2 linked regions of the Arabidopsis thaliana genome follow. The protein of the gene in region 2 interacts with the protein of the main gene of each other region in a pairwise test. Each region holds a gene or a part of one and is shown on either strand. Other genes may lie near its edges. The genes, in order: ZAT11 and AT2G18490.

Evidence for each region.
Region 1: the proteins of AT2G18490 (region 2) and ZAT11 interact in a two-hybrid assay, tested with the Arabidopsis thaliana proteins (one large-scale study listed by BioGRID).

Annotation. Positions count from the first base shown.
Region 1 is NC_003071.7:15,698,090-15,715,353, forward strand, and holds ZAT11 (C2H2 and C2HC zinc fingers superfamily protein), read left to right. Parts: upstream 1-8,195; 5' UTR 8,196-8,364; coding exon 8,365-8,901; 3' UTR 8,902-9,135; downstream 9,136-17,264. Other genes in the region: TIM17-2 (translocase inner membrane subunit 17-2), read right to left, coding at 30-761; AT2G37420 (ATP binding microtubule motor family protein), read left to right, coding at 2,461-2,757, 2,826-3,556, 3,635-3,791, 3,875-3,944, 4,044-4,120, 4,190-4,243, 4,346-4,426, 4,513-4,624 and 11 more; AT2G37435 (Cystatin/monellin superfamily protein), read left to right, coding at 11,734-11,752, 11,840-12,000, 12,104-12,439. UniProt on the Arabidopsis thaliana protein: Probable transcription factor that may be involved in stress responses.
Region 2 is NC_003071.7:8,010,947-8,028,379, reverse strand, and holds AT2G18490 (C2H2-like zinc finger protein), read right to left. Parts: upstream 7,925-17,433; 5' UTR 7,863-7,924; coding exon 6,957-7,862; 3' UTR 6,804-6,956; downstream 1-6,803. Other genes in the region: OFP7 (ovate family protein 7), read right to left, coding at 331-1,278; AT2G18480 (Major facilitator superfamily protein), read left to right, coding at 17,137-17,251, 17,387-17,433.

The sequences.
Region 1 (17,264 bases), 7.7 Mb from region 2:
GATGACAGAGAAATAGATGTCCACAAAGCTTACTTGAACTCAAATGATGGCACCGGAGGAGCATCAAAACTCTCCAACACCTCTGTTTTACTTTCACTGCCTGGTTGCACCTCCTCCTTTTTCTTATCAAAAAGCCCTCCAAACCATGATGATGATGATGATGATGAAGCTGTATTCTGGTTTTGACTCTCTGACCTTATCTGTGCTTGACTCTGCATCTGCCCCATCTGCATTCCTTGCATCCCAGGCATTCCTTGCATTCCGGGCATCCCAGGCATTCCCTGCATTCCCTGCATCCCAGGCATTCCTTGCATTCCAGGGTCCTCCATCATCATATTCTGAGGCTGAGCCAGTACCTTGTTCAACATGATCCCAGCTCCTTCAATCAAAGCAAGCAAAACCCCTCCAAAAATAGCTGATCTCGAAGCAGCACCAGCCCCTTGCCGCATAGACAGAAACCCTCCAGTTGCAGCACCAGCAATGATAGAGTTCCAAGGATCCTCCTTTTGCCTTAGGTACACCATGGTACAGTCAAATGTCGAGAATAAACCTCCCCAAACAGCAAAACTGCCTCCAGTACGAGGTGCGTTCATGCTCACCGATTGTGTTCCTCCAACAAAGCGACTACCTTTAGGAGAATTGTAAGTCCCTTTAATGAAATGAAAGGCAGATCCTCCAACAGCTCCCATACCAAAAGCACCACCGATATCATCGAGTATACGATCAGGGCAAGGCTCCCGAGATGTCTCTGGTGTTCCCATTATTAGATGCCTCAGGCAATGATTCTATCAAACCTGTAATCAAATGAATATTGATTCATTAACAAATAGTAAGAAATTTAGGGTTTTGTAAGTCACTGCGAAATCAACAAATAGATCTCTGACTAATTCCAATTAAATACTGAACATATACAATCGAACGAAGAAGATTAGGGTTTATCAAAGATCCGTACTTTACGATCGAAAGCAAACCATAGAAAAAGGTGGAAACTTTGTGTATAGAAATGAATCTAAGAGAATTGAGAAAGCACTGTTGTTGATGATAGATGAGAATCGAAGAAGCATACCTGAGACTAACGAGGAATTAATCGACGGACGAGTTTTAGAGACGAGTTTGAGAGAGAGAGAAAAAATGAAGGAGGTGCGACGGTGAGCGAGAGAAGGAAGGTAAAAGAAGAAACGGCGTCAGGGTTTATTAGGGTTGGCTAGAAAAAAATAAACAAAAAAGTTACAGCGACCAAACTATTTTGCGTTTAATTTTTTGTCAGCTTTATTTTTCCGACACTGTTGCGTTTTTTTTTTTTTTTTTTAATTTCCCTCTCTTTTTTGCCGGCATCGCTCATTTTTCTTTTCTTTTCGAATATGGTTGCTTTATTTTTTATTGTTTTAGGATAATTTCGTTCAGTAAAATTTAAAAAAGGAGCCAAAAGTTTTTTCAATTGCCCAAACTAGTTAAAAGAAAGACCTGAGAGAGAAAGTAATTAAACCTATTAATAAAAGCCCAAATAGTTAGTAGAAGATTTAAAGTAGAGAAGCCCAATTTGGAGTAGCCCAAGTTTGGAGTAGCCCAAGTTTGGAGTAGCCCATAGACTAAGAAAAGATTAAAGGATGTTGTTGTCTGTTTACCCGTCTTGAACTCACGCTTAAAAGCTCCTTTATAATGCAAGAATGTCATTAACTCTCTTACAACGGTACGTTAGTGTATAATGTATACAGATTGTTAATATATATTGGTCTTCACAAGTTACAACATTTGGATTAATCACACATAGAACAGTTGGAGACTGAATTAAATACTCTCATATTCAATTACAAATTCTTTTGTGTTTTCTTTTCTTTCTCTCTAATTTTGTCAAATCAATGATAATAATGAGCTAATGATCATTTTTTTAATTTATCCATCTCCAATAGTGCTGATTCCAAATTCTTTCCCCAAAAAAAAAGAAGTAGTAAATCCATCTCACATATATATGATTGTATTGGCAAAAGTGTTTATTTAAGAATAAAATCAGAAAGTAGTAGATTTACAATTCCTTTTTTTTTTTTCCCTTTTTTCCATGTTTACAAATCATAAAGTTGTTGGATTATTGGAACAATTTTTTGACTGAAATATTTAATATCATAATACCTGTAAATAAATAATCTAGCAATATATGAATACTGAGACAAAAAAGAAGAAGATATTTGCGACTTTTAAAAAAACTTTTGAAATTAAAGGTAGTGTTGAGCTCTCTAGTAATTCGAATTTGGATCTGCTTCCACTCCCAACGGTTACTTACCCTAATCTTTTTTTGTTCTTCAAATTCTCTCTCAAACTTGAAAAGAAGTCTCTCTTTCGATCTCCAGGATTCGGCTCTGTTTCCTGTAAGTGAATCTTATTTAGAATTCGAATCTCTGGGATTCTGATCCAACCTTTCTCAATTGATTAGGGAATTTGAATTTGATTTCACAGAAATCGAAGATGTCGTTTACGCCAGAGGTGGTATCAAGGAAAAGTGGAGTAGGAGTGATTCCATCACCTGCACCGTTTCTAACTCCTCGTCTCGAGAGAAGACGACCTGATTCTTTCTCTAACCGTCTCGATAGAGATAATAAAGAAGTCAATGTTCAAGTGATTCTACGATGCAAACCATTAAGTGAAGAAGAGCAGAAATCTAGTGTTCCTAGAGTCATCTCTTGTAATGAAATGAGAAGAGAAGTCAATGTTCTTCATACTATTGCTAATAAGCAAGTAGACCGTCTTTTCAATTTCGACAAGGTTGGTTGGTCTCTTTCTCTACTTGATGGTTTTGTATTCAAGGGTCTCTGATGGTGTTTATTCTATAGGTTTTTGGTCCTAAGTCACAACAACGGTCTATATATGATCAAGCTATTGCACCTATTGTTCATGAAGTCTTGGAAGGTTTTAGCTGTACTGTGTTTGCTTATGGACAAACAGGAACTGGGAAGACTTACACTATGGAAGGTGGAATGAGGAAAAAGGGAGGGGATTTACCTGCGGAGGCTGGGGTGATTCCCAGAGCTGTTAGACATATTTTCGATACTCTTGAGGCGCAAAATGCTGATTACAGTATGAAAGTAACATTCTTGGAGCTTTACAATGAGGAAGTTACGGATTTGTTAGCTCAAGATGATTCCTCAAGATCTTCTGAGGATAAGCAGAGGAAGCCCATTTCTTTGATGGAGGATGGGAAGGGTTCTGTGGTTTTAAGAGGTCTTGAAGAAGAAGTTGTGTACAGTGCTAATGATATATATGCTCTTCTTGAACGAGGTTCATCTAAAAGGCGTACAGCTGATACTTTGTTGAATAAGAGAAGTAGTCGATCTCATTCAGTGTTTACTATCACTGTCCATATAAAGGAAGAGTCTATGGGAGATGAAGAGTTAATCAAATGTGGGAAGCTTAACCTTGTGGATCTAGCAGGATCTGAGAATATCTTACGGTCAGGAGCTCGAGATGGCCGTGCACGAGAAGCAGGAGAGATTAACAAGAGTTTGCTTACACTAGGCCGTGTGATTAATGCCCTTGTGGAACATTCTTCTCATGTACCTTACAGGTACTTGCCTTGTCCTACAACTATATATGTCTACTGTGGTAATATTTGTGTTTTTTGAAAGCATACTTGTGGTTGCAGGGATAGTAAGCTGACAAGGCTTTTACGGGACTCTCTAGGAGGAAAGACAAAAACTTGTATCATTGCTACAATCTCTCCATCTGCTCATTCCCTAGAGGAAACTTTAAGTACTTTGGATTATGCCTATCGTGCCAAGAACATCAAGAACAAACCTGAGGTTTTGTTTATGCTACCATATCTCATCTTTATTTATCAATGTACCCTTAATTTCTATCCTTCTAACTAGACGTGTCTCTGCAGGCAAACCAGAAGTTATCCAAGGCTGTGTTGCTTAAAGATCTTTACTTGGAGCTTGAGAGAATGAAAGAAGGTATGAACACAACATTCTGTTCTATATTCTCCAGATTTTCTTATGTATATTATCAAATGAGCTATTGGATTAGTTAAAATTGTTAAACAATCAATGCAGATGTAAGAGCAGCAAGGGATAAGAATGGTGTTTACATTGCACATGAAAGATATACACAAGAAGAAGTTGAAAAGAAGGTAGATTCAAAAGAAGACACTTAAGTGTATATTCATTTTATGCTGGGCTTAATGATCACTTTGTTTCAGGCGAGAATTGAGAGGATAGAACAGTTGGAGAATGAACTAAATCTCAGTGAAAGTGTACGTCTGCCTCACATTATCTCTTAACATTAAAGTGTATCTGTACGTTAGAAACTAAATTAATTTTCTCCCATTGGAACTTAAGAGGCTTCTTTTATGCAGGAGGTTTCCAAGTTCTGTGACCTTTATGAGACTGAGAAAGAGAAGTTACTGGACGTTGAAAGTGACCTTAAGGACTGCAAGGTGATTAGAACTTCCGTGACTTAGTATCCAGATTATTCATCCTTTTAGTGAGAGTTTTCTTGAAATTTCAAACATTCATGATCCAGAGAAACCTGCACAATAGTAACAAGGACTTGCTAGATCTCAAAGAGAATTATATCCAAGTTGTTTCAAAGTTAAAGGAAAAGGAAGTCATCGTCTCCAGAATGAAAGCTTCAGGTAACAGTTCTTACTCAATACTTTTTCTTTACATGCTTCCGATTTCTTGGGTTTGTTGCTTACTCATATTTTTCTTGAACAGAGACTTCTTTGATCGACCGTGCAAAGGGGTTACGTTGTGATCTGCAGCATGCGTCAAACGATATAAATTCGTTGTTCACAAGATTGGGTACTTCTTCTTTCCTATTTCTAAGGGTGAAAATAAGATCTGTCATGTGCTGATTTTTCTTGTTTCTGCAGACCAAAAAGACAAGCTGGAATCCGATAACCAGAGCATGCTTCTGAAATTTGGATCACAACTTGATCAAAACCTTAAAGATTTGCACAGAACAGTTCTTGGATCAGTCTCTCAGCAACAGCAACAATTAAGAACTATGGAAGAACATACCCACTCATTTCTTGCTCACAAATATGATGTAGAAAAAAGACCATACTTATGTCAATTCACTTTTTGCTTTGAACCAGTTGATCACACTAGTGGTTGATTTACTCACGCAGGCAACACGCGATCTGGAATCAAGAATTGGGAAAACATCAGACACTTATACTTCAGGAATAGCAGCCTTGAAGGAGTTATCTGAAATGCTACAAAAGAAAGCCTCCTCTGATCTGGAGAAGAAGAACACTTCTATAGTATCACAAATAGAGGCTGTTGAGAAAGTATGAACAAAATCGAGCTATGAAATACTAATTCACCTCTTGCTGTGTTTCTATATCTTAGCATGTGTTTTGGTAATAATTCAAGTGCCTTTCTCTTCTTAGTTTCTCACTACATCAGCAACAGAGGCTTCTGCAGTCGCTCAGGACATCCACAATTTACTTAATGATCAGAAGAAGCTCTTAGCACTTGCTGCAAGACAACAAGAGCAGGTGCTGTAAAAATCACTTTCTGGATTCTTGTTAGTTTTACTATTTTTCTGAAAATTCAAGTTTGTTTTCAACTTATCCAGGGCTTGGTCAGAAGCATGAGATCTGCACAAGAAATTTCCAATTCAACTTCAACCATTTTCAGTAACATCTACAACCAAGCCCATGACGTGGTGGAAGCCATTAGAGCAAGCCAAGCAGAGAAATCAAGACAGCTTGATGCTTTTGAAATGAAGTTTAAGGTGAGCTGGGACAAACTCTTAAAGACTTCAATTATATATGTTCTGAGAGGTTCGCACAAACTCATCCGTTTTGATGAAAACAGGAAGAGGCTGAAAGAGAGGAGAAACAAGCCTTAAATGATATCAGTCTGATATTATCAAAGTTAACTTCAAAGAAAACTGCAATGGTGAGTCTTTAACCATTATAACCCCCTTAGGCTTGTTTTATTCATCAGTTGAATCAAACTTAAAGACTGATGCTCTATGTGTTTCTAGATTTCTGATGCATCAAGCAATATCCGGGAACATGACATACAGGAAGAGAAGAGATTGTATGAACAAATGTCTGGTATGCAGCAAGTCTCGATTGGTGCAAAGGAAGAATTGTGTGACTATCTAAAGAAAGAGAAAACTCACTTCACGGAAAACACAATAGCTTCAGCTGAGTCTATCACAGTCATGGATAGTTACCTTGAAGATTGGTATAAATTCCATCTCCCCACTGCTTTCTATTCAAACCTCTCACTTAATTTGCATTATGTCTTCTCATACAAAGATTGTATTTATTGCAGCTTGGGAAGGGCCAATGATTCTAAAACATTGTGGGAGACCACTGAAACAGGCATAAAGAACCTTAACACGAAGTATCAACAAGAACTTAATGTCACAATGGAGTAAGTTTTTAACTTCTGTATCCGTGCATCTCTCTGTTTCCACATCATTTCACTGAATAAACTATCTACGTATAGGGACATGGCAAAAGAAAATGAGAAGGTGCAAGATGAATTTACATCCACATTTTCCTCAATGGATGCTAACTTTGTCTCTAGGACAAATGAACTTCACGCAGCTGTTAATGGTAACCACACTAAACCTCTGTTCCATTCCCTACTCAAGAACTACTCAAAAACGTCCTAATCCTTGGTTTTACAGACTCATTGATGCAAGACCGTGAGAACAAAGAAACAACAGAGGCTATAGTAGAGACTTGCATGAACCAGGTCACATTATTGCAGGAGAATCATGGACAAGCTGTTTCAAACATTAGAAACAAAGCAGAACAGTCTCTCATAAAAGACTATCAGGTACTTAAGCAATCATAATGGAAAATCTATAGTGTGATCTATATGTGTATACATTAACAGCAAAGCTTTGGATAAAATGAACAGGTTGATCAGCACAAGAACGAAACACCAAAGAAACAATCCATAAATGTGCCAAGCCTGGATTCGATTGAGGAGATGAGGACTTTGTTTTCGCAGAATACTCTCAGCGAAGAACACACAAGTTTGGAGAAAATATCAACAAAACAAGGACTTGGCGAAGCTAACAACAGAACTCCATTCTTGGAAGTAAACAAATGAGTAAAAAAGAAAGCTTATGTTCATCAGCTGGATGAGTGTAGAAGATTAAGACTGTGTAAAGGTTGTTATGTAGTAGTACGCAAGCTTATGTTGTCATGGATAAATCTGGTTATATTTTGACATTAAACCGGTATGCAGATTGCTGAAATTTTAGATTTTATGGATGACGTTTCCGGTTAAATTGGCTTATTTTCTCATTTGAGTCAACCAAATATGAAAAAAAAGAAAAGTAAAGAGAGAACAAAAAGAACACAAGACTTTGCATTGCTTCCACAAGAAAACATAATAAAGTCAAGAATAAGCACATACCTCTAATAGTCTAATTTACCACTTTTTTTTTTACTTTGACTTGCTCTTCCATAAAATTCAATTGCTGTCGTCAAGAATCCGTCACTGGTGACGATTTCAGTATTGAGCTCTTATTACTATCTAGATGAACAATGTATCAAAAAGGCTTTTGTTTGGTCTCTAGTGCATGTGTTTGACCAAATTGAATTTTCTCTTCGAACAAGGTAATGATTGTATTCGAACTTGGATCTGAAGATTACTTTTGTATTTTAGCTTTGCGCAAGTTTGAAGATTTATTTTTTTATAAAAAAAAAGTCTTGAAGAATGTAGTTTTTTTTTTACTATACAATAAAATATGAAAAAACAGTTTACCAAAGGGGAAGAATTACTTATTTAGAGCTCTTTAAGGCTGTATTTTCCAATGATTAGTCTAAAGTACATTGAAATCCTTAATTTTATATTTTTTGATTAGGATACAGTTGGTTAGGTGTTGATATAAATTATTAAGTTATGCCTGTGGCAAGCAAGTCCATGAGAAACCAAGTTGCTTGATTTATTCTGTGTTGTGTACACATGTGTTGACTATGCTACTTTTGTTAGATTCACATTTTTAGCAGTAGAAGTTTCTAAGAAATGAGAACTATGTGATGTATTACGGGAAAGACGATATTACCCTTGTTATTCAACACCCGTGGTATGCATTGTGCCGGCGGTCGAAGGGTGATATTGAAAATGTCAACTTGTCTCAAGTCAGAGAATCAGTGCTCTGGTAGTTGTGTTAGATAGAATATTAGTTTAGACGACTTCTTTTGGTCAAACTACTAGAAAGTCCAACCTTTTAGGTAATTGCTCTTATATAAATATACATTACTTCTAAGTTCTCAACCTTCATTACAAATCCTCTCAATTCAGGTTTCTTTTCTAACAAGCAAAAACTCCAACCTTTACTTTATTTTTGTTTTGTTTTGTAACCCTCTCAGATCTTAATTCTCAAAGAAGTATGAAGAGAGAAAGATCTGATTTCGAAGAATCCCTCAAGAATATTGACATTGCTAAATGTCTGATGATACTAGCACAAACCTCCATGGTCAAACAGATCGGTTTGAACCAACATACCGAGAGCCATACAAGCAACCAATTCGAATGCAAAACATGTAACAAGAGATTTTCTTCGTTTCAAGCCCTTGGTGGCCACCGGGCAAGCCATAAGAAGCCAAAGCTCACCGTTGAGCAGAAAGATGTGAAACATCTTAGCAACGATTATAAAGGAAATCATTTTCACAAGTGTTCCATATGCAGTCAGAGTTTTGGGACCGGACAGGCTTTAGGTGGTCACATGAGACGGCATAGGTCAAGCATGACGGTCGAGCCATCGTTCATCTCTCCGATGATTCCATCCATGCCGGTTTTGAAACGATGCGGTAGTAGTAAGAGGATTTTGAGTTTGGATTTGAATCTGACTCCGTTAGAGAATGATCTTGAATATATCTTTGGGAAGACATTTGTCCCAAAAATAGATATGAAGTTCGTTCTTTAGTTTTTTTTTTCTTTATCTTTAAGAAGACATTTGTCCCAAAAATGATTCATTTGTATTGTAATTCCTATTCTTTTAATTCTTCAAACGTTAATGTCAACAAACTTCATGGTATATGTGTGGGGTCCCTACTCCCTATATAGTATATTCATATGTGCGTTCTTGGTTATCATGTACGCTAGAAAAAGATTTTAAACTAAATTATTTAGTTTCCATTCCTGGAACAAGTACAACATATTCATAAGCGGGCCAAATTTTGGGCCATATCCCCTATGGAATTGGAAACATATTCCTTTTGCCTTGGCATGTATGATATGCAACAAAGGATCCTGAATATATTACGTTTATCATTTTTTTGCCAATGGCTTGAATTTATATTAGATGATTTTTCTCTAGACAATTGCAAAATTCTATTGTCGTCATCACTATCGTCGGATATTTCTTATTTTTGCCATCATCATGTAATTTAGGATATGACATGCTTTGATTATTATCATTTTTTTCAGTGGCTTTAGTTTTGATGTTAGATATTATAAATTTATAACAAGCTTGATCCTCTCTAGTTACCTAAATTATATTGTCGTCAACTCGTCATCACTAGTGTAAAAATATCTAATTAATTTCTTCAGTTTAATTAATTTCCATTCAATTTTGACAAAAAGAAGAAAACAAATCGAAAAAAAAGAGAAGAATGACCGTTCGGAATTAAAACAATGCATGAGTTTTTAACTCTTATAGCTCTTCAGTATAACTTGTTCTTTAATGGCAGTAAAAATAAAGAATGTAACTTGTTTTTCTTACTCTAATGTCATTGTACAGTCTGTTATATATTTTGCTTCTATTTCTTTTAGTTACATCTAAAAAATAGGTGTAAGACACAGTTATAGGATTTATAGCTATAGGTCGCCAGGTAAAATGTACATAATTATGTGGGAAAACCTTAATTTCTGCTTCTGCATTTCTGCTTCCGTCTTTCGGCTTCTCAAGGTTTAATTTATGTTTTTTAACGCCTTTCAACACTTAAAGCACTACATCGCCGTGTTTGTAAGATACTTTCTCTCATTCCTTTTAGGTTTTTCTCCAGCGCGTGTTTATTAATTAGATTTAATATAAAATGAATTTTATCATCTCAGTTCTTTAAATCTTCATCATTATTTCGTCAAATACATTAAAATAGCCAGAAAAAATCAGTATATAGATGCTAGATCATGTGTTTGTGTGTGGATTTTATTTTCATTTTTTCGCCTCATTCATTATTTCGCTTGATTCATTATTTTGCCTAATTCATTACTTAGATAGTTTTTGTATACAATAAAAATGCAACTTTTGTGTTATACACTAGTTTTATGATTCTGAATGCTTACAACTTTTGTCTCATATGGTTTTCATCTCTTTTAACCTTTGGATTTTTAGATACAACATATTAGTGCAGATCTCGTACGTTTTGTGTTGTTCTTCACAGTGTAGAGATGATAGATAAGAGAAGAAATACAACAAAAGTGAAAGGAAAAGTTCGAGCAACTGATGACGTGGTAAACAGTTTTTCCTTCCATTTTTGTAGATTAGTGATATCTAAAATCTACGTATTATTATTAATGTAATTTTCTTTTTTTTTATACATGCATTTTCAGAACTACCAGATATATACAAAAAACTTGTTTTTTTCATTAGGAGTGTGTAATTACAGTTTGTTTATTTCAATGTGTGTTACAATTTTTGTTGTTCTTACTTACACGATTTACCTAAAGGTTTTCCTTTCCAATATTCTTGGAAAATAGTTCAAAATAATAAAATGGTTTTGCGGGAAGTCACTGATCAAGGAAATATGGGTAAGTCTTTTTACTATGTACCTTAACATTTACTTGATGAATGATTTTATAAAAACGTTAGGTATTAGTACAAGATCAAATTAAAAGGTGACGCCATTGTTTAGACATGTCTTAAATTAGAGAAACTTAACCTTAAAACTTGACAAAAAGTATATTTCCTTAATTTCAAATAATTCAACCTTAAAGCTTATACGTTTGTTGTTCGTCCCTGGAAAAATTTGTCATTAGATTTCTTATAACGATTTTCCTTAATCAATCACAATTACTTTTGTTTCGTTTACTTTTTAATGAGAAATAATAATGTGCATGATTTAATCTGAATGATAGGTTACTGTTGGACCATCTCTTACAACAGAATGATTGGGGGCCCATTTATACATTCATGGTAGAATTCCTTCTGGAATTCTCTTCAAAGCATCTATTTGCCCAAATTGAAGAAAAAAAATCAAATGGGAATTTAAAGAAATACAAAGGATTGATAAAATTTCTTAAGGATAAAGGGCTGGTTAGAGAAGAGGATTGCAAATGCTTTAAAGAACAAAATGACGTAACTTTACCTTTCTAATATTTTATCCTTACAGCCTTTTTAGTTTTTTCCCACTCATTATCCTTTCTCTTTCTTTTCAAGTTTCACTTTTAACCAATCTGAGACCCAAACTGAATCCCTTAACCATACATGTTGATTAGTGGGCCAAATTTAGGGGCCCAGCCTGAGTTAGTACTAATGATTTTATTACTTATGTATTACTAATGATTTCCGGGTCGAATAGCAATACGGGTAACAGGTCGGATATTTTAAAAATAAATCTGATACTCGATCCTTACGTACGGGTAATAGAATTACATTATTTTTTACCCGACTAAGTTTACTGGTACCCTTTTTTCAAGACTGGTACGAGTCGGGTAACATGTATCGTCCTAGTTGACAAAATTACATAATTAAATTTATAGGGTTCTTGTTTAATATTAGGGTTACTGTTTTGTTCATACACGCAAGGCGAATTCGATGGGGGATGATTTACCAGGTACTGAGGTACGAATTCAACTCTGTAAAATTTTGTTTATATATCGGAACAAATCCCTAATAAAGTTAGATATTTTTCCTGTCTCAGATTGGAGAAATAAGCTGGAACCTGTGTTTTTGGAATTTGAGGATGGTTGTGTTCCTGAGGAACATTATTATCCGTGTATAAGACGCCGTGAGGATGAAGAGCCCAAGATCTCGGCGGAAGAAGAGTATTACCTCATGGTGAAAGAAGTCGAGGATTCCAAGGTTTTCTTCATGTTGTTGATTCTTGGTAAAAACTATAAAGACAGATTTTAGTCTGTCAAGTTTTCTTTATCTGTTTGGAGAATTCATCTTGTGTGTTATATAGGGTTTTGACATCGATTTCGCCAAGTTCCGCTGCGTTTTCAATTACCGACCAGTTGATCTCGATGACAACGAGTTGGCTTTGGAACCAGAAACTACCAGAGAGTTTATGGACAGACTGTGTCGGAAATCCCTTGAGCATTTCAATGAAATTCATAGTACAAAATATGAATTTGTCAGGTTTATCAAAGCCAATCATCACGTCTCTGCTGGCATGATGTATTTCATTACCTTTGAAGGTAAGCTACTTTCCAATGATGATGACTCAAAACAGTTCCAAGCTAAGCTCTGCTATTGCGGTGGTACCCCCGAAATCATCTCATGCGAACTCAAACCCTAGAGAAAAGGTAAATTCGATGCTTGGTCTATCTTTGTTTTCTTTTCTGTTGACTTCAGTTTGTTACTGGTTATAAAATTCTGTTCGGATTTGTTTTTGGCAGTTCACTCCATCGAAGCACCGGAGAAAGAAGATCCCAAGAAACCAAGGTTTATATATATCTTGTCTTTGTTACTTTGATCAGTCTTTTCCTTTCTTTGTCTTCTTTCTTACGGAAGGAAGGTTCTTTTACACTGTCCTGAATGTTACTTTTTGTTTTATTGACATCTTTAGATTGACACTTGAGCCATCTAATGTCAGTCTAATACGGGTCTGAGTGGGTGATCACACGCAAGCACTCTCGTGACAATTGACCGTCTAGTTCTATGATGATAATGTAAACTTGATTACCAATATGAAACAGTGTCTTTACCAAAAATAGCTAATAGTTCATAGCTAAGCTAGGACCCAAAAAGATAGAAAAGTCTATATGAAACAGTTGGCAAACTCTGTAATGCTGATTTAATTTGTTACCCGTGGTTCTTGAAATAGTCTTCATGGTTGTTCTCTTCGAACTAGCTAGGAAAGTGTCTCTAATGCATCGGTCATTATGTTTAAAAACAACTGATGCAGGAGAAAACAAGGCGTTGTGGAGCCTAGTGGTTTCATTCTTTCCAAAGCATGTATACTGTTGCATCTGTGAGTCGCAATATGCTTTAAATTTGAGAGATAGTTAGAAAAGCTGATGATAGCCACAATCTAAGGAAAGATGAAACTTGGTACAATGTATTTACTTTTATGCTCATAACATTGTAACAGATCAAAGTATATCACAAGTAAATAGCAGCAGAACGGGTAAACTCGTTTCTTTAATACTAGTACCAAAGATTTAGCAAGTGCAAAAATCAAGGTCATACATGCATTCGCTTCTAATTACGACCAATATGGCAATAATACAAAACATTAGTACAATAATCAAGTAGCCTTCTAATAGTTGATTTTTTTTTTAACACTGTAATTATAAAGTCTGCGTCAACTGAGCTTAACTTTGCGTGTTGAAGAAAGTCAAAGGTCCTCTATTTTGGAGCACGCAATTAATTGCCAACTTTAGCGACCAATTAAAAAGTGTTTTAGTAACATATGATAGCCACTACTTCTCATCTACCACTATCATCACATGGTCCACATGTAGTATAGTTTACTAAATATTTTCATGCGAACAAGTACAAATATATAAAAGACAAACATGTAACATATGCATGCGCGGCGTCAAACATGATGAATCATTTTGTAGTATTGTAGAATGTAGTTCGATGTATCAAGTTTTGATTCTGAAAATTTGGTGACTTAAGTTTACTGAAGGACTATGTGTTTAATTAGTTTTTAAGGGACTCACTGGTTCAGCATATATGTATGTAGAATGCATGCGTTTATATGAGAACTCTCACTTTTTCATCAAATTTGGACGAGTTTTGAAAACGTTACGGGGACAGACATATAACTATATATAACACATAGCGAAACATGGATCCATGCATATGAGATAACACACTTGTTTCTCATCATCGTATATTCGTATGTATGCATAAAACATATTCTCCACTAGCTAATCTGTCAAATGCTTGTTATATATTGCTCAACTTTATTGGTTAGTGATGGCCCAGTTTGGTGTGTACCACTAAAATTGCATAATCTTAAACAATACCTAAATTCTAGCATTCAGGAATTTCTTTTTGGATGCATGAAATGCTCAATTCTATTAAGTATTAGTTGATGCATGAATCACGTATATCACATTAACGTCTATATATATCCCACTTATCTCAACAAATCATTGGTTATAATTATCCTATTAACTAATATTCGGAACATCCCACTTAGGTCGGTGGTGGTGCTTCCAAAATTTTAGGACTCTAGTAAAAATGGAAATCAATCCCAACGAACCCGATGGTCCAAATTCGATTCATTGTCTGCATTAGAGATCGTAAAGAATTTTTTATTGGTCTTAGTGGGTTGTTTAGTCATCAAAATAATAAAATTAATGTAATATTCTTCTATTAACTATATATATATATATATATATATATTAATATTAATATAATGCTTGAATAGGCTAGTTATAAGAGGTTTAAACCATACCCTGCTTTGGCATGAAGTGCAGTTCGTGTTATTCTCAAGCGATCTTTCACGTCATTGCTTAGCTAGTTACTATTAACCGAATGTCAATAAAGCTCATTGAAACTCCTAATTCAAAATAGTAATTACTAGCCATGTTATAACAGTAAAAGATTCCAGTGGCCAAATCAATAGGATCGACACATGTTTTTGGATAATCGTCCATGATGTAGTAAACTGATATAGTATGACGCAAAAAATATTCACTACTTATATAATTTTGAAAGATATCCAATATAAAATATCAACCTTTTATAATTTGTGAACGTTCGGTATGGTATATATATATATATATAAATGTAACAACGTTTTTTTTTCGTTTTTTTTATGTCAAACAAAATTTCTATTCACTTAAACATCAAAAGAGTCACGGATAGGATCCAATAATAACATTTTAAGAAGTTGAATACATTGAGCAAAACATGTAGTCTTGTGATTAGTGTTAGTGATATCACTGTACTACTAAATTCAAACTCACAAGTATATTATATATTATTAGCAAACCAATAACTAAAATATATTTCATTCAAAAACAATTAACCAAAATATATAATTCACAGTTAACACATATACTATTGTTTTAGTTAGAATATATATGAAATTACTCTAGCTTCCGCTGCCCAACCCAAATCTCAGCAGTTACTTGTGATTGCTTCCAACCATAACCACACTCATCGGAATCGAGGTCCTACCACAATCACACCATTTAATTAGTATGAAATTGTGACTACTTAAAAAATAGATAATAATAATCTTCAATTATATATATATCACTTGATATGTTTTATGAAAAAACAAATTTCCTTAAAATGATAATTTTATAGTTTATACTTTATATATAACCTCGTTAGTAGTTCATATTATGTTTAATTCATTTATTTATAGTAGCATATATCTTATGATTCTTTTCTTACTTTTTTTTTATGTGCAGCAGATCTTTTCTTACTTAATATTTTCTAATTCTCTATCATGGAATTTTTCTAAATAAAACAGTTACTTGATGAAAAAAAAAAGAGTTACTTCAAATTTTGACTAAAAACGAAATAAAGTTCCAGTATATTATATAAGTTAACTAATTTATATTTTATATATTTGTAACTAATTTTTTTTCTCAGTAACTTTTCCCATATTGTGCTTTTAAGGCTAAATGCTTTTCTAGTAGAAACTTCTAAGGAAAAAAGTGAACCTGTGTGTCTTAAGAAAATATCTTACAAATTGCTAAATGTTTTTTTTTTTTTTTAACAGAACGGCTAAATGGTTTTCAGATGGAAAGTTCTACGAATAACGTACGGGGATTAGAATTACATCAATCAATTAAAATGAGAGCGATATTTATCACGATTTGCGCATATTAAAGAGGCATAACTAAGAAAAGTGGGTCACTCACTTGCCTGCCAAAGCTGGCCATATGAGAGCACTTTCTCGGAGAGTAGTGGTACCAACTTCCCTCTCTACACAATCATTGGTTTCTCAAGTCTATCATCAAAAGTAAAATTGATTAATGGTCTTTTGTATTAATTATAGACTTTTCTTCAAAAATAATCTTTACAAAAAGTGTTATATGAAGCCGTAAAACACATCCGATTTCTAACTAAGTGTATAAGTAAAACATATATATACCCGTTACATCTGTCCAAAAAAAAAATATATATATACCCGTTACACATGTATATGGTGTTGGTTGAAACTAATGGACTAAATTTAGCATAAGATGACCAAAGGACATACATGAGTTTGGTTGTTATGCTATTTTAGCGCTTGTGTTTACGTTGTTACATAATAGTTAGATTCTGAATTAGATATTTCACATCTACCTAGTTCCAATTTATATCTGAATTTGCTTCTGCAATATATGATCATGCATGGCACTTTTACATCTCATTAACATTCATAATTGTTTTACATTCTTCCCTTTTCGAAATATAGATCGGACATGTGCATCTATTTGGGAACTTAACTTTTAGCAAGTGAGTTTAATGATTAGAACACTTGATTCTAGTCACTAATCACTAATCATATTGGTACAACTCTAATAATTGGATTATACTTTCGTTCTTTAGCCTTTTTCTGATTTTTATTCTCCTTTTGTAGATTATTAACCAACCCCACTTTTCATTGTTCCATACTTCCCCATTCCATCTCAAACGCTCGTTAGCCTTTTTTGATATTTAATTAATTAACATATTCTTCCAATCATACTTTAATATTGTCAGGGATTTTGTAGATATATTCACCTTTGCAAAGAAATTAACAATTCTTGATTAGTTATACGTATTTTCGGTTTATTAGTCGAAAGCCATTAACTCCGAGTTTAAACTTCGTTCAAGAGTTCTAAGAAGTAAGAACCCTTTATTTTTTCTTGCATCAAAGATATACCTTATCAAAAAAATTGTGATGATATAGATGATTTTGATAATTAAAGTTTCTTTTATATGTGAATTTCAATGTACGTCGTAACACCGCGACGACAATAACATAAATCAATATCCTAAAAATCATGATATGATCATCATAAATTAGTTTTTATCTCTTTATAAAACACTAATCTTCATTTATTTTCATCAATATATATATTGATGAAAAAGTTATATAGACTTTTCATTTATTTTCTGCCAATAATATGTAGACCTTAATTTAATTACCTCAAGTTTAGTGACTTAACAAACCAAAACGT
Region 2 (17,433 bases):
GGTCAAAATCTAGTTTTGTATACATAACTTTAACTTTAGTAACCAAAAAAGTGAAATTTTTGAAAAGCAATTATTGCGTGTGAATATGAACATCTTTTTTTGGGTTTGGTGTTGACGATTATGAATATATGCAATCTATGCATTAGAATCTAAATCGCACAAATACAATATTTTAATTAGCCTACGCATTTAATGATTACAGTTTTAATAATTGCACCGCCGCATAATTTACATTTAACATTTACATCGTCACTAAAAGTGAAAAAAATTTAGTAGAATTTAGTTAGACATTATCATAAACAGAGGATTTTAATTTTTAACATTATTATTTTAACACTCATCGTAGTCTGAGAGTCGAACACTCGAGAAGGAGGACGATCTCCGACCACCACCACTACCACCGGAGAACAAAGCAACCCAAATCTCTGAAAACGCTCTTACAATCGCGCGGTGGTGGCGTTTCGCGTTTAGCGATAGGAAGCAACTAAGAAGCTGTTCAAGCTCAGCTACTTCAAACATCTTCTTCTCTACTATCATCTCCATCATTGATCCTTTAAAATCTTCGTATGGATCCTCCGATTTCTTCACCACCGCCACTCCTTCCACCATAACCGCCGCCGCCATCGTACACGGCATTAATCTCTGCACAAACGAAGACAGTCTCGCCGGAGACGGTGGCGGTGATGATGATTCACTTTCTTCCTCGATCACCGCCTTCTTGAGAAGTTGTCTCGGACGTCTTGTGACACGCGGTAGCTCGGAAGAGGAATATTCCGGCGAGAGGTTTGTAGAAGATGGTAAGAGACTCTCTCTATCAGTCTCTTCTTCGGCGGAGGAAATGCTCCCTCGCCGCCGAGAGTTTGATTTCTCCTTCTTCTTTAAACGCCGGCGATTATCTTTCTCCGACCCACCGTTGTATATTTTCCGACGAGGCGTTTCGTATTCTTCTTCAGTGACTTGAGCAATCACGTGCCACTTCCCTTCACTTTCCCACTGAAACGTCGGCGTTTGCGGCGGAGATAACACCGGTGAGTTTCTCAGATCAACATCCAACGGCGTGGACGAGCGTCCGCAGCCAAACACAGTTAAAACGTGTAGTCTGAAAGAAGAACGGCGACGTTGCGGCACGGTGGTGACGTCGGCGGAGGAGTTAACCAGTGGAGAAGTACGTCGGAGACTTGAAGAAACAGGATTAAAAGGAAGAGAAGAAGGATCTTTTAAACGGCAAGATTTGAATGAGAGGATTCTTGAAATCTTTAATTTGAAACGTTTCGTCATTTTTTTTTCTTTTCTTGTTTTTTGTGTTTTGTTGGAGAAGTGAAGAAAGTATGGAGCATTTACCAAATGAGAACTGTTTGTGTCTCTTCTGCTTCTATATATATGCAAACACTTTTATATTGGAGTATATAAAATTGTATAATATTTCTCTGCTTTAGTATGCTTTATACCGACATTACATTTACTAATTATCTTTTTTTTGTTGACAGCTGCAATATAAGTTATTTATACGAATCCCTACTTTTTTTTGCCCATACTAAAACCTTACCTTAGTTAAATGATCAAATGAACCGTGAATGTCATTAGACGGGTCAGAATGTGTGTGATATGTATATACTTTGCGTTTTCAAAAGCAACCCAAATTAGTTAAGTGGACGTCTAAGGCTTGATTTGCAGAGATGTTGGCAATAGCAATGGTGAAGGAAAAGTTGCACATCATCGTTCTTCTGAAGTGGTGGTAGTCGAGAAAACGTATTTATATGTAGGATTTCATATATATACGTTTTCTCGATTACTTCTTCAGTAGAATGATGATACTGTATCGATCATAAACAAGATACCGAATTGTGATATAACCATTTTGACTTGAGAGTTTATTAAATATCGATCTTAGTTAATAGGAATAAGATAGTTTGTACCAAAAAAAAACTAAAGACATAACCATGTGTGGGCATATACAAGTCAAACACCTATGAAATTGAAAGGTTGAGAAATTAAACGGCTAAATTAAAATACAAAACAACAACATTCTGTCTAAATTGTTTTATATTTTTTACCACAAAATACATTTCTTTTTTAGAACTTTTTTTTTTGTCTTTATTCCTAAATACTTTCTTGCTTTCTATATATTTAGATCAATTTTTTTTGTTAATACATATTTTCAAAAATCGAAAAGATATTTTGGAAAAAAATTCACAATTTTGATTACATATCGTAGTATCGCACAGAATCATGTTTAGCCTAGTCTTGTAATAAATTACATGTAATTAAAATAATTTTTGTAACGTCATCACATGTATGATGTCAATGTTGATACCTATTTTTTTATACTGTATATACTTATGACTTAAATTGACAAGCTAATCCTAAGAAAATTATACAAACCCTAACCCCTAGGCATCAAAGATTGATGTAACTCGAGTTTGACCGATACAAAAGTTCTACTTAGCTCGAATTAGCTTGCATTTGGATCTAGCAACCAACAAGCATAATAAGACTAGTCCAAAAAGAACTCACAGTTCTTGTTAGCTTGCATTTGAAGCTAGCAACCAACAAGCAAAAGAGTAGTCCAAAATCTTGTAAGACATTTAGCAAAGTCCAGAATAGTCAACTTACCTTAAAAGAAAGAATATGCGATAATCCATTGTCTTATCAGGTTTTTGAAAGTAGTAACTATTTTCCTACCATCCCAATCACATGTATTGAGAAAATGTATACTCTTAGTCTTACTATAATATTTTAACTTAACTACTATCAAACAAATTTTTAAAGTTACCGCGCGAAAAACCTAATAATTTTAAAAAGGCATTTTACGTGAAGAACATATCACTTCGACAAACACTTGTCAGCTGAATTAACTAACATTTGTTAATATTGACTCGTAATTATACACTTCGTCAAAAGTTTACCTAAATTATTTGAGTTTTTTTTGTGTTGGGTATTAATTAGCACTGCTCTTTTATGAGATTGAAAGATACGGTTTCAAAACTTTCGGGATTTAAAAAAGCCAATTTTGCAATAATAAATTATATATTATATTTAAAAGAAGGTGAAAAGTTGTATGATAAGACAAAAAAGATCCATTTTTGAAGAATGAAGAAGCGAAGTAGGGAACGACCAAAGGATCCAAGGAGACAATATAATCTGATTCATGCCCCAAAGTCATCTTTCTCCATCTCTTTCCCATATATTTATATTTTTCAACTTTATTTATTTTCTTCCTTTTTGGAAAATTACAATATGATTACATTTCTACTTGTGTCGTTTAATCATTAAAAATATATAATGTAGATGCTCCTTTACTAGTTAAAGAGTCTAGAGTTAAAATGTCAATTCAATCGATTCCATTACAAAACCAGATTATGTTTACTTTTTAATAAAATAAAATAAAACATAATTTATTTTTCCTTCTTGGATAGTATTAAAAAGCAATAACAGAAAACTCTGGCCTTTTATGTTGGGTTTTGATAATTAACTTGGGCTTTTCTTAAAACTTAAATGGCCCATGAACTGTACAAAGAATCAACAATAATTCCTATATTTAATTAATCCTAACTTGACAATAACGATTTGACTCAAAAATAATTTTATATGTTAAGATATTTACATTTAGTCAAATGACATTTGTTAACCTTTTGTCATATATTTTAATTTGTTGATATAATGGTGTTCATCATGTAAAATATATTTAATTCCAATAAAATATTTGTGACTATTATTTTAATTTTTTTTTAAGTTAGTCACTAATTCACTATAGTGCAGTAATTTGCATTGAAATTTTAAGATTATATACACTAGTTGGATATATCATATATGTAGACGGGAGACTTAATCTAAACATGATATATATTTTTAAAAACAACGAGGGTGAGAGAGAGACCACATAACTGATATAACTTTAAAATTTAGAGCAAATAGAAATTACAATACGCATATCCAAATATGATGAAATACTAGAAAGAAAATACAATATTCATTAGGTTAAAAAGAAATCTCAAGGAAAGAAAATCCTAAATAATCTCTTCTTTAACTATCTCAAAATGTTGAGTAGGTTCATCGACACTATTTCCACCATTATATCTCGTACAATTTTTAATTATTTATTTTTTGTCCGAAGTCTCAAAATCTCCTTTTTTATCCATATAATACTTGTAGTGAGATGACATATGTACATCAAAATTTTGAGAAATATCAAATATATTGTTGCATTTAAGACATGTATATAGATCGTATTTCTCATATGGTAGACTATGTGTCAGACCATCATATTGATCATCGATACTTTTATCATTTTTTCACAATTTATATAATCAGCAGTTTTTTCATTGGACATGGTTGGTTTTGGGATTTTTTTCAAAGACCGACTCTCATGAAAAATATTTTGATCATGGTTTTGCTTTGGTGACAAGGAAAACATGTTTAAATGTAGACGATTTTCAGAATTTTGGTGAGAAGAAATGAAATTTAGAGACTCAGGGTTCAAAATATAGTATTGTTTACCAAGAAATTTTGGAGGATGAAAATAGGATTCCATATATTGGGTTTAGAATCCATGGCCTATTTGAACAATAAAACTATATATATCTATTAGTAATGGTTTGAGTGAAAGAAACTCTAGTAACACGAATATTATCATTAATAGGCAAATAATCGGTACCAAAAACATAATCAATGTTTCTCCTCATCATATGATAGGGCATATGTGAATTGTTAAATCCAAAAAAAGATGAAGACATGTGAATATTGATAACATGAAAAAGAAGGAGAAGATGAAAACAAATCCCTATGGTTTGAACAATCAAATGTAGTGAACATCGATCGAACCATTTTGGAGTTGTGATTCATTTTGATGGGAAAAAATCACGATGGTTTATAGAAGTATCCCGGTTAGTATGTAACTTATTTGGGATGGAAGACATTTTTTAAGATTTGAGTGTATCTTATGTCATTTGCTTATGTACTCTTTTATACAAAATTCGCACTAGAAAAGTAAAGATATAAACCTCAAAAACGGAAATGTATTTTAAAATACAAAAGGAAAGAAATCGACATTATGTTAACTATTATTATATTATATTTAATATTTATAAGAAAAATCTTGAATCATTTATTATTTTCCCCAAAACTCCTCTATTTATATGGTAATATATGGATGGAACAAAAAAGTTGATTTTCGGTCATATACTAATATACCTGGATTCGGTAGTTGAAGATATAGACAATAATCAATGTAAATTTCTTATATTTCTTATATTAACAGTTAATGCTATCCATAAGACATTTGTTGAAGTTTTGTCATCTATCTTAGTATTTACTATAAATTTTGTCATTTTAGCTTTTGAATTTTGTCTCATAATAGTTGTCGTTTTATATTTTCAATCAGATGTTGGTAAAAATTCTAGTTTTTTTTTCATAGTTTTAATGACTTGACCAATAATTTTTTTTGGAGAATATATCAAACAAGGATAAAGTAGAAATTTTAATTGTTTTTTTTTAATTTTTTGTAGAAATCTTGAACGATAAATAATTTAAAACAAAAAGAGTATGATTTTAATGTTTCGTATTTGAATATAAATGTTTAGTTATTATATATATATATTCCTAAAATGTACCCGTTCGTAAATTGATTTTTAATATTTTATCCACCGTATTAATTTCCTTTTTCATGCAACATAGAAGGAATTTCTCAAGGTTTTTCTTGTTGATATAGTTTTTGTTTATCAACGCTTTTTGTTTTCTTCCCCTAGATAATATATGTACAAAAAGTTTGAAATGTAGAAGTTGTATAGGTTGAAAGTTATCTAAGAGTGTGAGAAAGAACAAGAGAGGCGGATAAGATCGAATAAATGAACTTGTCTTAGGGTTTGTTTAAACCAAAAATCTTAGAAAGTTAACAAAGTCATAACTAAACTTTATCAATATGTCCTAAGTCTTAACAATATATAGAACCTTCGCAAATGGATGTTTGTGTCGCGGTAATAGTTAAAGAAGGATCCACGACAAAAATATAATTATATAGGAATAAAGATGGGCATAAACTTTAAGTTTAACAAAGGAGTCATTGTGTAAGAATCTAAGCTAAAATAAGTCATAATCTAAAGTCTGGCTTTGATAGAGTAAGTGAGATTGTATCTAAGACATAGTGGAGGACTCTAATAAGAAAAATATATCATATGCACTAAGGTAAGATCTAAGATCTATGACTACAAGAAATTCGCGAATCCACCACTGTCTGGCCAGGGGTTCTTGGTAGTGGCTAACAAAGGCCACATATTTGTTGTCATTTAGCCACCGTCAGGCTACCAAATATTTATTTGACATTTTGGTGGTTCATCGATAGTTACGTGGACGATACTTCGCCACCAAACAGTCTGTTAATCATTCATTTGTTAATCAGCCACAACTAGCTACTGAAATAATGGTGACATATAAGTTTTTAATTGTATTGTTTTCTTTCAGTGACCGTTAGTTAGTGGCTACGATAATAGCTAATTTGAAATAAAATAGTTACCGATAAGCTATTTATGACCGTTATGTGGTTTCCAAAGTAAGAGAACATGTTGTGGGAGTAGAGTCAGGGGGTGACATGGATATTGACAATGGTGGTGAAACAATACTTTTTGAAAGAACCGATGAAGACGAGGACGAGGGTTATGGTTCAATTGAAGACGATGAAAGCGACAACGAGGATGGATATGGCTAATGCTCTATGAAAAATGGAGAGAGAGAGAGAGAGAGAGAGAGAGAGAGAGAGAGAGAGAGAGAGAGAGAGAGAGAGAGAGAGAGAGAGAGAGAGAGAGAGAGAGAGAGAGAGAGAGAGAGAGAGAATTAAGAACTTTTTAATATAGAAAAATAACTTTAAAATTGAAAGAGAAAATAAAAGTTACAATACGAATAGCAACAAATATGATGAAATACTAGAAAAAGAAAACAATATGCATTATATTGAAAAAAAGATATTAACGAAATAAAATCTTATGATGTTGAATAGGTTTGTCGTCACTCCTTCCATCATTATGGACCCCATCTTCTTGTTTAATCTTTTGAGACTCCCCATAAACTTCAAGATTCAATTTACGATATTTTCTTTTATTTCTTGCACGAAATCTTTGAGCTCTTTCTTTATTCGTTTCACTCTTGTAGTGAGATGACATATGTGCAGCAAATTTTTGAGAAGTATCAAATATACTGTTGCACTTAGGACATGTATATGGACCATATTTCTTATATGGTAAACTATGTATTCGACCATCATATTGAGCATCGTCACTTTTCTCGTTTTCTTCACAATCTATATATTCAGTAGTTTTTTCAATGGACATGGTTGGTTTGGGGATTTTTGTCGAAGATCGGCCTTCATGGAAAACATTTTGATCATGGTTATGCTTTGATGACAAGGAAAACATGTTTAAATATTGACGATCTCCAGAATTTTGGTGAGGAAAAATGACATTTAGAGGCTCAGGGTTTAAAATCTCGCATTGTTTACCAAGAAAATTTGGAGGATAAAAAACAGGATTCCAAATATTGGGTTTAGAATCCATGGCACGTTTGACAAGTTCAATATCATATTGAACAGCATCAAGTGAATTGGTAGGAACAATAGAACTATACCTATTAGTAATGGTTTGAGTGAAAGAAACTCTAGTAAGATGAGGATTATCTTTAATAGGCAAATAATCGGTACTGGAAACATAATCAATGTTTCTCCTCATCACTTGTGAATTGTTAAATCCAAAAGAAGATGAAGAGACATGTGAATTTTGGTAACAAGAAAAAGAAGGAGAAGATGAAAACAAATCCCTATGGTTTGAAAAATCAGATGTAGTGAACATTGATCGAATCATTTTGGAGTTGTGATTCATTTTGAAGGAAAACAGAAATCAGGATGGTTTATGTAACTTATTTGGATGGAAAACTTTTTTTTTAAGATTGAGTGTATCTTATCCCCTTTGCTTATGTACCCTTTTATACAAAATTCGTATTAGAAAAGTAATGATATAAATCTCAAAAACGGAAATATATTTTAAAATACAAAAAGAAAGAAATCTACATTATGGTAACAAATATTATGTCATATTTAATATTTATAAGTTAAAAATCTTGAATTATTTATTTCTTTTCCACAAAGCTCCTCTATTTATATGGTAATATATGGATGGAATAAAAAAAGTTGATCTTCTGTCATATATCTAGATTAGGTAGTTGAAGATATAGACAATAATCAATGCAAATTTCTTATATATATTAACATTTAATGTTATCCATCTTATGGGACATTTGTTGATGTTTTATCATCTATCTTAATTTTGTTTGATTATATGTCATGTAATGGTATTTCCTATAAATTTACTCGTTGATTATTATTGTTCAAAAATTATTCATAGTTTATAATTTAAATAAGTAAGTGAAAAAAATAATAGGATGGATGAGTCAATCTAATAACACATTGTTTTCCATTTACTAGGGAATATATTAGAGGGACATTTAACTCATAAATTTTGCTTCTTCTTTTTTCGACGACATCCAACAATTAGATTTGAATTTTGATGATGACATATACTCATTCGAAATCTCATTAGATTAGGTGATGTATCATTTTTGTTTTCTAAATTTATCAAGTTTTTTTTTATTATGTCACTTTAAAGAAATTGAATGGTTTCAAGTTCTTATGCTTAAGCTAAAGCATGTGAGTTGCTTGTCATGTGGGTTGTATAAAGTTATGTTGCATGGAAACTCTATCTGATATATTTTTTACGTTTTGGAATCTAATTTACAGTAGCAAATGATAAATAATGAATTTGTCAAGGTCTTTTTTGTTGATATGGTGTGAGAAAGAACAAGATAGGCGGATAATTAAGTTTGAAGGTATGAAATTGTCTCATAGTTTGTGTAACCAAACAATCTTAGAAAGTTAACAAAGACATAAATTTTTGAATATCTCCTATAATATAATTCTATAGGAAAAAGGATGGGCATAAACTTTAAGTTTAACTAGAGAGCCGTTGTCTGAGAGTCCAAAGTTATAAGGAGAGAGCTAGAGATACAATTTAGGACATGGTGGACTATTTGTTTTTTTTTTTTGGATATAATGTTAAATTAAATTCAAAAGAAAAATACCATTTTACATCGAATGCAATGTTTGTTAAATAGAACTTTTATGTACTAAATCAAAAGTTTAACCTCAATCTGGCATCGCAAACCAGGCTTTTAGACCCTTATTATACCGCTTATCTCCACTTGCTCTGATCGAACACGGTGGACTAATATAAGTCATAATCTAAAGTTTAGCTTCTGTAGATTAAGTGAGACTATATTTAAGACATAGTAAGCTCTGATATAAATTAAATAAATATCTTATATACTAATAAAGGAAGATCTACGTAATGCTTAAGAAAAACGGAGAACTTAATGTTTTAGCCACATACTCTTTTTGTGTGAAAAGTATGAGTTTTCTATAAGAACGAGTGATTATGTAAGAAATGAATTCATCAATATTTTACTACTTTTCTTGATATCTTATATCCTTTATTCACCTAAATCTATAAGTAGTTTTATGTATTTTACTTTGCGCTAAATCAAATCTAGTAGGTTATTTGCAGTAAAATTCAATGTTAATTACTAAAATTCGTTTAATTTAATTGAAGGGAGGAACTCTTGAATAAGTCATAATTGCATGACCTATCTCCGTCCAAATGTACCATCTCGTTATCGCTAAGATGAGGATTGTGACTTGTGGATCTATAGTTACCTTTTGTTATTGTTCTTGTACTGTGTAGATATGGTCTAGTTATGATATGTGAAATAATTTTGACTATGTGATAATGTTATAAGCATAAGACTATGTGATGATTGTGTGGCAAGACCTGAAACTTGTTAGGTTGTTAAAAGGAGATAAGGAGAACCTAGAGAATTGCAAAGTTTTAAAGAAGAAATAGGAGGACCTACAATATGCAAGGTTTGATAAAGAGAATGAGATGGGATAAGTGGAGATGATAGAGGTTAGCATGTACCATATGACCGGGAAAGATATATTGTAGGATTGCTTGTCGGACCAAATGCATAAATATATAGGACTACTATGTTGCGGCCCGTGAACGACTGACGAGCCTGAGGAGACGGGTGCACACAGATAAAAGGGAACCGAATTGTTGTTGCTTGTTTGTTGGTTGCAAGAGCATATATATATTGTTAGCTATTCTATAATTGTGTGGTGCCTGCTTGTACCTTGTCGTTCTATGGATCATGTGGGCAAGAAATATCGTCCTCATTGAGTAACTTGTTGCTCATGTTCCCGGAAAATGGTGGCAGGAGAGGACTAGGAGCGGAGTGGAAAGGCGCTATATACGACGGGATTCTAACATGGTTTTAGGATTTCAACAAAGACATTTCTTTGTTCTAAGTTTATGATTTCAATTTTCAAATAAGGATTTTTGTTTATGTTGTTACTTACGTTCAAGCTTTTAAGATGCAACTATGGCAATGTTTTTAAAGACCTTTCATGAGAATTTATTGAATAAAGTTCTGGATATTTCACGTGTTCTTTTAGACCCCGGGTTCAGTTGTCACAACTTAAGTAAATCAAAAGTTTGTGTAGTTAGAGGATTGTGTAAGTGCAACAAAAAAAAAATACTTTTTATTTTTTTTAAGGGTGAATTGTAAGAATAACCTATTTGGAAGATGAAATAAAGAATATAGCACCATAAACTGTATAATATAGTGAGTAACACATGTGTGTGTTAAAAAGACCACAGACTCCTTCAACTTGTCAAGGAAGAGATGGTAGCGCGTGGAGCAACCAAAAAAGTGACCAAAATATATTCATCTCATTCAATTTTGTTTGCTATGTAAGTTTAAAATTATTATTTGGTTAAAACTAATAATACTATTAAAAAAAGGGATTTTTTTTTGTTTATCTAACATGATTTGAATTTTAAAAATCGGAAACAAATTTTTTAAAAAGTGAATAGTGGTACCAAGTTCTATACATATCATCATAAAAAAATAGAATAGTATATATTTGTTCAAATAGAAATGTTTCTTCTGATGAATCCAAATAATCAATTAAATACTTTTTGATGGAAGAATACTAAACCCTAAGATAATATATAGGGAACCCAAGACTTTTAATATAAAACACTAATCAAATCACTTAACATCCTTAATCAAAACAAACAATTCATTTTAAAATGTATATAGTACAAGGTATACGTAAATAGTATATTCACAAAATAGAATAGTATCTGTCAAAAATCTTCCAAAAACAAAATCGATTTATTGGCTATTTTCCTTTAGAATTTCTACCATCGTAAACCATTTATCGCTTCTAGATCTAAGAATGATCCCTAATTTATCAACATTTAAGAATGATCCCTAATTTATTGTAGATATGTTGTGAGTCTGTAACTATGAAGAACAAAAAGATTAAGTGATAAATTAGTTTAAAACCATATATGCATTTTGATGTCAAAATTATGTTTCAAAAAAGACAAAAAAGAAAAAACAAAGCTTATAACCTAAATAAATCTCACAAAAAGGTAATTAACTAACTGTAACTAGAAACAAAAATAAGCAAAGAGGTCATTTGGAGAGAATGAAAAAAAGAGGTAGGGAGAAAGGCTGAGAGGAGAGAGAGAAGGAGAGAGAGAGAAGGAGAGAGGGAGAGAAGGAGAGAGAGAAAAAAAGTAGGGAGAGAGGCGGAGAAGGGAGAGAGAAAGAGAGAGAGAAGGAAAGAGGATAAAGTTGGGATTAATATATAAAATATAAAGAATATCATTTTTTTTTTTGTAGTGTTACTTAATTATAATTTTTTTGTAAGTCAGTTTTCCAAATTTCCTTTTTTTAATGATATTCAGCCTGCATGGGCATACAATCTAAAGTCCGATTGAAACTGAGTTAAAATAAATCCGGTTCCGTTCGTTTTTGGATAGTGAATATTATCCGAATAGATCCTAAAATATATATTTTTGAGTTTTGGTTTGGTTGGGGTAGAATCCGAAATCTCAATGAATACCCAAAAAATCCAAAACTTGAATAAATACTTGAAAACCCCAAAACCCAAACGACCCATAAAACTGGAAACAATCTATACACATGATTGTTTCAGTTTTTTTTGAGTAGTTTGGGTTCCAAATCGGAATCAGAAAATATTTAAGTTCCATGTCTGATTTCAAAATAAATTTTGAGAACCGACCTAATCGGAAGAAGAACTGAATCGATCTAATCCAAAATTCATCCGGTTCTTAAATAGATCTTGTACCTCTCAACCAGAAAAAACCCTCTGAAATCTGAATTATCCGATCTAAACCGATCTGAAAATCTGAATGCCCAAATCTAATTGTACATGTTTGTCTTCAATCTTTATTTAAAATACTTTTTGCCAATACAATTACAGATATTTTTTTGGGTATCAAACACAAATACCGTTAGTATCAATTTTTGATTTACACTTCCTAATATGCCTTATTTGTACACTCATAAATCTTACCTTGTGATTAGTATCAATTTTTTATTTACACTTCCTAATATGCCTTATTTGTACACTCATAAATCTTACCTTGTGATTAATAATATCAGCAGTATCATGTCAAGTCTTATTCCACTGGTTGTTGTTATGGATATCTTTTGTGCAACCAATTTGTCTTCCACTTTACCTTGAAAACGCTCTTATACGGATTGAACCAAAACTACTATACATCAACTACGAAGAAATTAATTTTTGAAATCTCTGAATTAGGTACTTTCAATGAGAATATTATCTTACCAACATATTACTGCCACATAATGTGCACACATATAAAGATGTTATTCATAGATATGTTCTTACTTCTTACACACAATAAGGAACAAAAACGAGGGGGCTTTTGCGAAAATGGACATATTTTGGCCCATAAACTAGGAAAAAGACATTTTTGAGTTAAGCTTATGAAAATAAGCACTTGTTAAATTAGGAAATAACGATATTGTCCTCTTTTTCAATCAATGTTATTGGCATTCATCGTCTTCATCGTTGAGACTTTTCCAACGACACAACTCTCACCTTTCACTGTTGTGCTTGCTTCTCCGTTAACAACATCTCCATCAACTCAATCAACGTCACTTTCAGCAGCATCAACATCGTTTCTTTTGCTGGAATTTACAAAAAAATTTTGTCATCATCACCGTGAACCCAATAGATCTAATTAAAAGAGTTTAATGAAAGAAATATAAACCCTAAGCGGATAGTATATAGGAAACCCAAGGGTACAATCTTAAATGCGGATTGAACAAGTTTAATCACCAACTCAAATTCTAAAACAAAATCAAAATCAAATTACATGTTTAATATTGGTTAGTGTAGGATATATAATAAACTGAAATTTGCAGATCGAGACGAAGATCACTAATTTCCGTTGAACACCAACAACATAGTTATCAAATTCGATGCCAAAAATTGCAGACCTAGATCGAAAAAAAAATATGATAACTGGGTTTAATTGAAGAAGAACAGCTCCTTCGCATATCTCACATTCCCACCATTTCTCTTGTTCACTTTCAGCAGCATCAACAACGTCACTTTCAGCAGCATCAGCATCAACGTCACTTTCTGAACTCGTTTCTCTTGTTCGCTGCGTCAATTGCAGAGGCAAAGCAGACAGCGTTAAAAGGCGAGAAAAGCAGCGAATCAAATATCATATCCTAAACAGTCAAATAATTCAGCTTAAGCATAGATGTTCCTAAATTCACAAAGGCATAGAGTTTTTTGTGCCAATCCCATAATTGATCCCCAAAACAAGTCCAAATATTTTCAAGAACTTTATCACCATGCCACACAAAAATCATAGATGTGTTCTTGGCTCTTACACAAACAAAATAAGGAAAAAAAACGAGTCCCAACATTTTCAAGAACTTTATCACCATGCCACACAAAAATTCGTACCAACAATTAGTTTGGCCAATTTTAATGGCCTCCGTTACATTTTGAATTGCGTCCATCACTTCATCCCACTTACAATACTTTGTCCCCTTAAATCATTACAATATTTTTGTAACCAAATAACTAAATCTTTAACCGGACTGCCAAGTGCCAAGTGATCTCAAAATCAACAAAAATTTGCATTTTCTTACTTTTTTTTTTTTTGAACGACATTGTATTTTCTTACTTAATCTGAAGTTATAGATAACTAATAAAGTGTATATCAAAGTTTTTTTCAATGTTTAAAAAGACGCGAACACATCTAACTGGAAGTGTGCCTCTTGTCTTACGGATGTCCTTCTAGTAGAACATCTATAAAAATCTGAAAATCTTTCGGAAAAACAAAAAAAAAAACTTACAAATTGTTTTCCATCTAATCACGAACTTGATCATCAGTTCTCGTGATGTTGGAAACAAAAACTCAAAATATCATCACTTCATGTGCATTTGTACTAACACATGCATATCAGTGATTCGTTGGGTTCTTCAATTTTAGTAAAAAAGTTTTTTTTTTATCAAAACCATTTCTAAAAAAATTCAATTAGAAATTACGATAATTTTGACAAAATAAGGGCTACTTTCATTATTTATTATTTATGAATTTTGAAAAAATCCTAATGTGTTGACATTGTTCAAATAAAGAACTAATAAAGTTTTAGATGGAAAAAAAAAAGAACTACGTGTTTTTTTGGTGAAACTTTTGAATAAAGTAATAAGACCTACCCATATGATGATCTAACCTACCCAAGTTATCACTTGTATCGGAAAGTCCCCAAACTTATCTTTCTGGTTGTGTCGGCCAAATGTATCCCAACTAATACACACAATTTCACTTTGAATTTCTCTTTCTCTTCTTCCAGAAGATTTCTCCTTCTATCGTTGACCTAAATGATTGATCTGTCTTGGTTATTTTGTCACACGATGTGTATGCCAATCAGCTTTGGACTACAATGCATGTTAAGGTTCGTACTAAAAAAAACTCAGCATGAAGAATGTTGGTTCGAGGACTTAAATTCTGATCTGACGTAGCTAGTCTATCGATTATCTGCCTTTAAACCAAAGCTTTTTGGATTAAAGATAGGTAATCCGTGCGTTGAAGGTATATCATTTTCTTACCCAACAAATTCATTTAACCTCATAGTATAAATTTCGTTTGGTTTTGATTTTTGATAGCGACAATATATGCCTTTTCAATTAAAAGTGAAAAGAAAAAAACGCATGCCATTTACTTGTTTGAGTAAGTTACTCATTATGGTATATGCTCTTCAAGAAAACAAATCAAATACTACTTTTTCGTCACGTATCTTTCTTTTTCAGCTCACCAAAATATAACTTTCAAGGAATCATATCAAAACTTTACTATTTACATGGATTTTGTGCATTTGCATAATTTACGTATACAAATCCCAAAGGTTAGCGTTTTTGCCAACTATATATATAGATACTAGCTAGATGATTATCCAGATTTACTTCTTCTTTTTTAATAATATATATATCGTATATCCATTAAATGTGTAAACCTTTACTTCTAACAGATTTAGAGATCTATAAAACGTATACACTAAGAATTATTTAGAAAAACTAGAAGTTTGAAATAAGTTATTGTCTCTCTAATACACCAATATTGCTTCTTATGTTCATTACAATTTTACAAATGTATGCTTACCAGATTACAAAAGCATGTTGAAAATTCGAAGTTATGATACCAATTTATTAGTAGCGAATGTAAAAAAGACTAAACATAAATTGGACGTAGTCCACCAAGATATATAATGTTATAATTAGCGGGGTAAAATATTGATTTAATACTGGAGGCGTAATAACATCTTGTTTCAGAATTCCAACAACGTACGAGTAAGAAAAACAAAAATACAGTTCTCAACAGACTAATTGGACGTAAAACTCTAGGCCAGCCAAACTGACAAAGCATATGACAAAAATATAAATGATAGAATTGGCAATTTCAGAATTTTCCATCGATCATGCTAAAATGAACATTAGTTGGAACCCAAAAACATTTTTGTTTATCTTGCACATACAAACAGAGCTATAGGTTACGTTATGACTTATGATGTTCTGATTTATTGATCAAATCACACATCAGTTTTTTCCCAACAGATATCAATTTCATTATGTAATGATACATATAGTCTGATAGTATTATTCGTCTGTTGAGAACAACGGCTTTTTGTTGGATACAAGTTTTTTTGTTTCGTCAAAACAAGTTTAATTTTGGACTTCATCACTTCAATAAGAAAAAGAAACCAACTGAAAATAAATGCACCGTATAAATTTAGTTCACCAAATTATATAAATGTGGAAAAGAATCTTTAAAGGTTACGCCACTATTGAACATAGATCAGGAAAATGCCGAAAGTGAAGAAGATGGCGACTTTTAACTTACAATATTAGCAATATTTTTGGTCATATCGTATTAAAATTGATGACCTACCATTTAAAAATGGTGGATATAACTTCTTCTAGCATATGTTACTATAATGAATGATCAATTCTGAATTCTCATACATATGACTTCACAACGGAAACTTTTTGCTTTAGAGTTTCATAAATAGTTTACGACATACAATTTTTCATGCATTCCACTCACGAGAACAACTTTATACGTAACATGCAATTGCAAAACTACAATAATCGGGTTTACATGTAACATAGCATCTAATAAAAATCTTCACTTCCTTTATTAAAAAATAATAAAAATTGAAAACAAGAAGACCAAGTTCAAGTTCAACGAAGGTCGTCACAAATTATTTGAAGACCGTGTGCGAAACCATTTTTTAAACTCATTGTAACCTTTTAATTATTATTTTAACTTACGTATGTATTGGTTAAAACTTAAAACACTTGCCTGATTACACTACTTTTTTTTTTTGTTGGAAATCTTTTCAATTTATTTTGCTCGATATACTTCTCAGGTTGTATACGTCTAAATCTTGAGGAAAATTCATATCTTGCAGAAATATAATTCTCGTACCAGAATACGTGGGCACCCACAAACACTGTGGAACAACAGTAGAAGTTTTTGATCGTCATTGTTCCACTATGGATGCAAGTGGTGGACATATATAGTTATGTGTATATATATACTAGTAAATGCACACAATCGATATAACAAGTTATTCTAAAATTTAACCCAAAAAAAAAAAAAGAGAAGAAAAAGACTCAACATGGTTCATGCTGATGGTCATAATTTTCCCGGTTCGGATCCAAACCCTCATATGAACAAGTTCGCTTTCGGGTGTGCCATTGTTGCTTCCATCATTTCTATCATCTTTGGATATGGTAACATACTAACATTCTCTACATATCAAACAAAAGTTTTCTACATATATCATATAAAGATATATTCAATGGAATTATATTAATGATTTTATATTAACGAATATTTTTTTTTTTGTAATGGTGTGTTGTCCTTAGATACGGGAGTTATGAGCGGAGCTCAGATATTTATAAGAGATGATCTA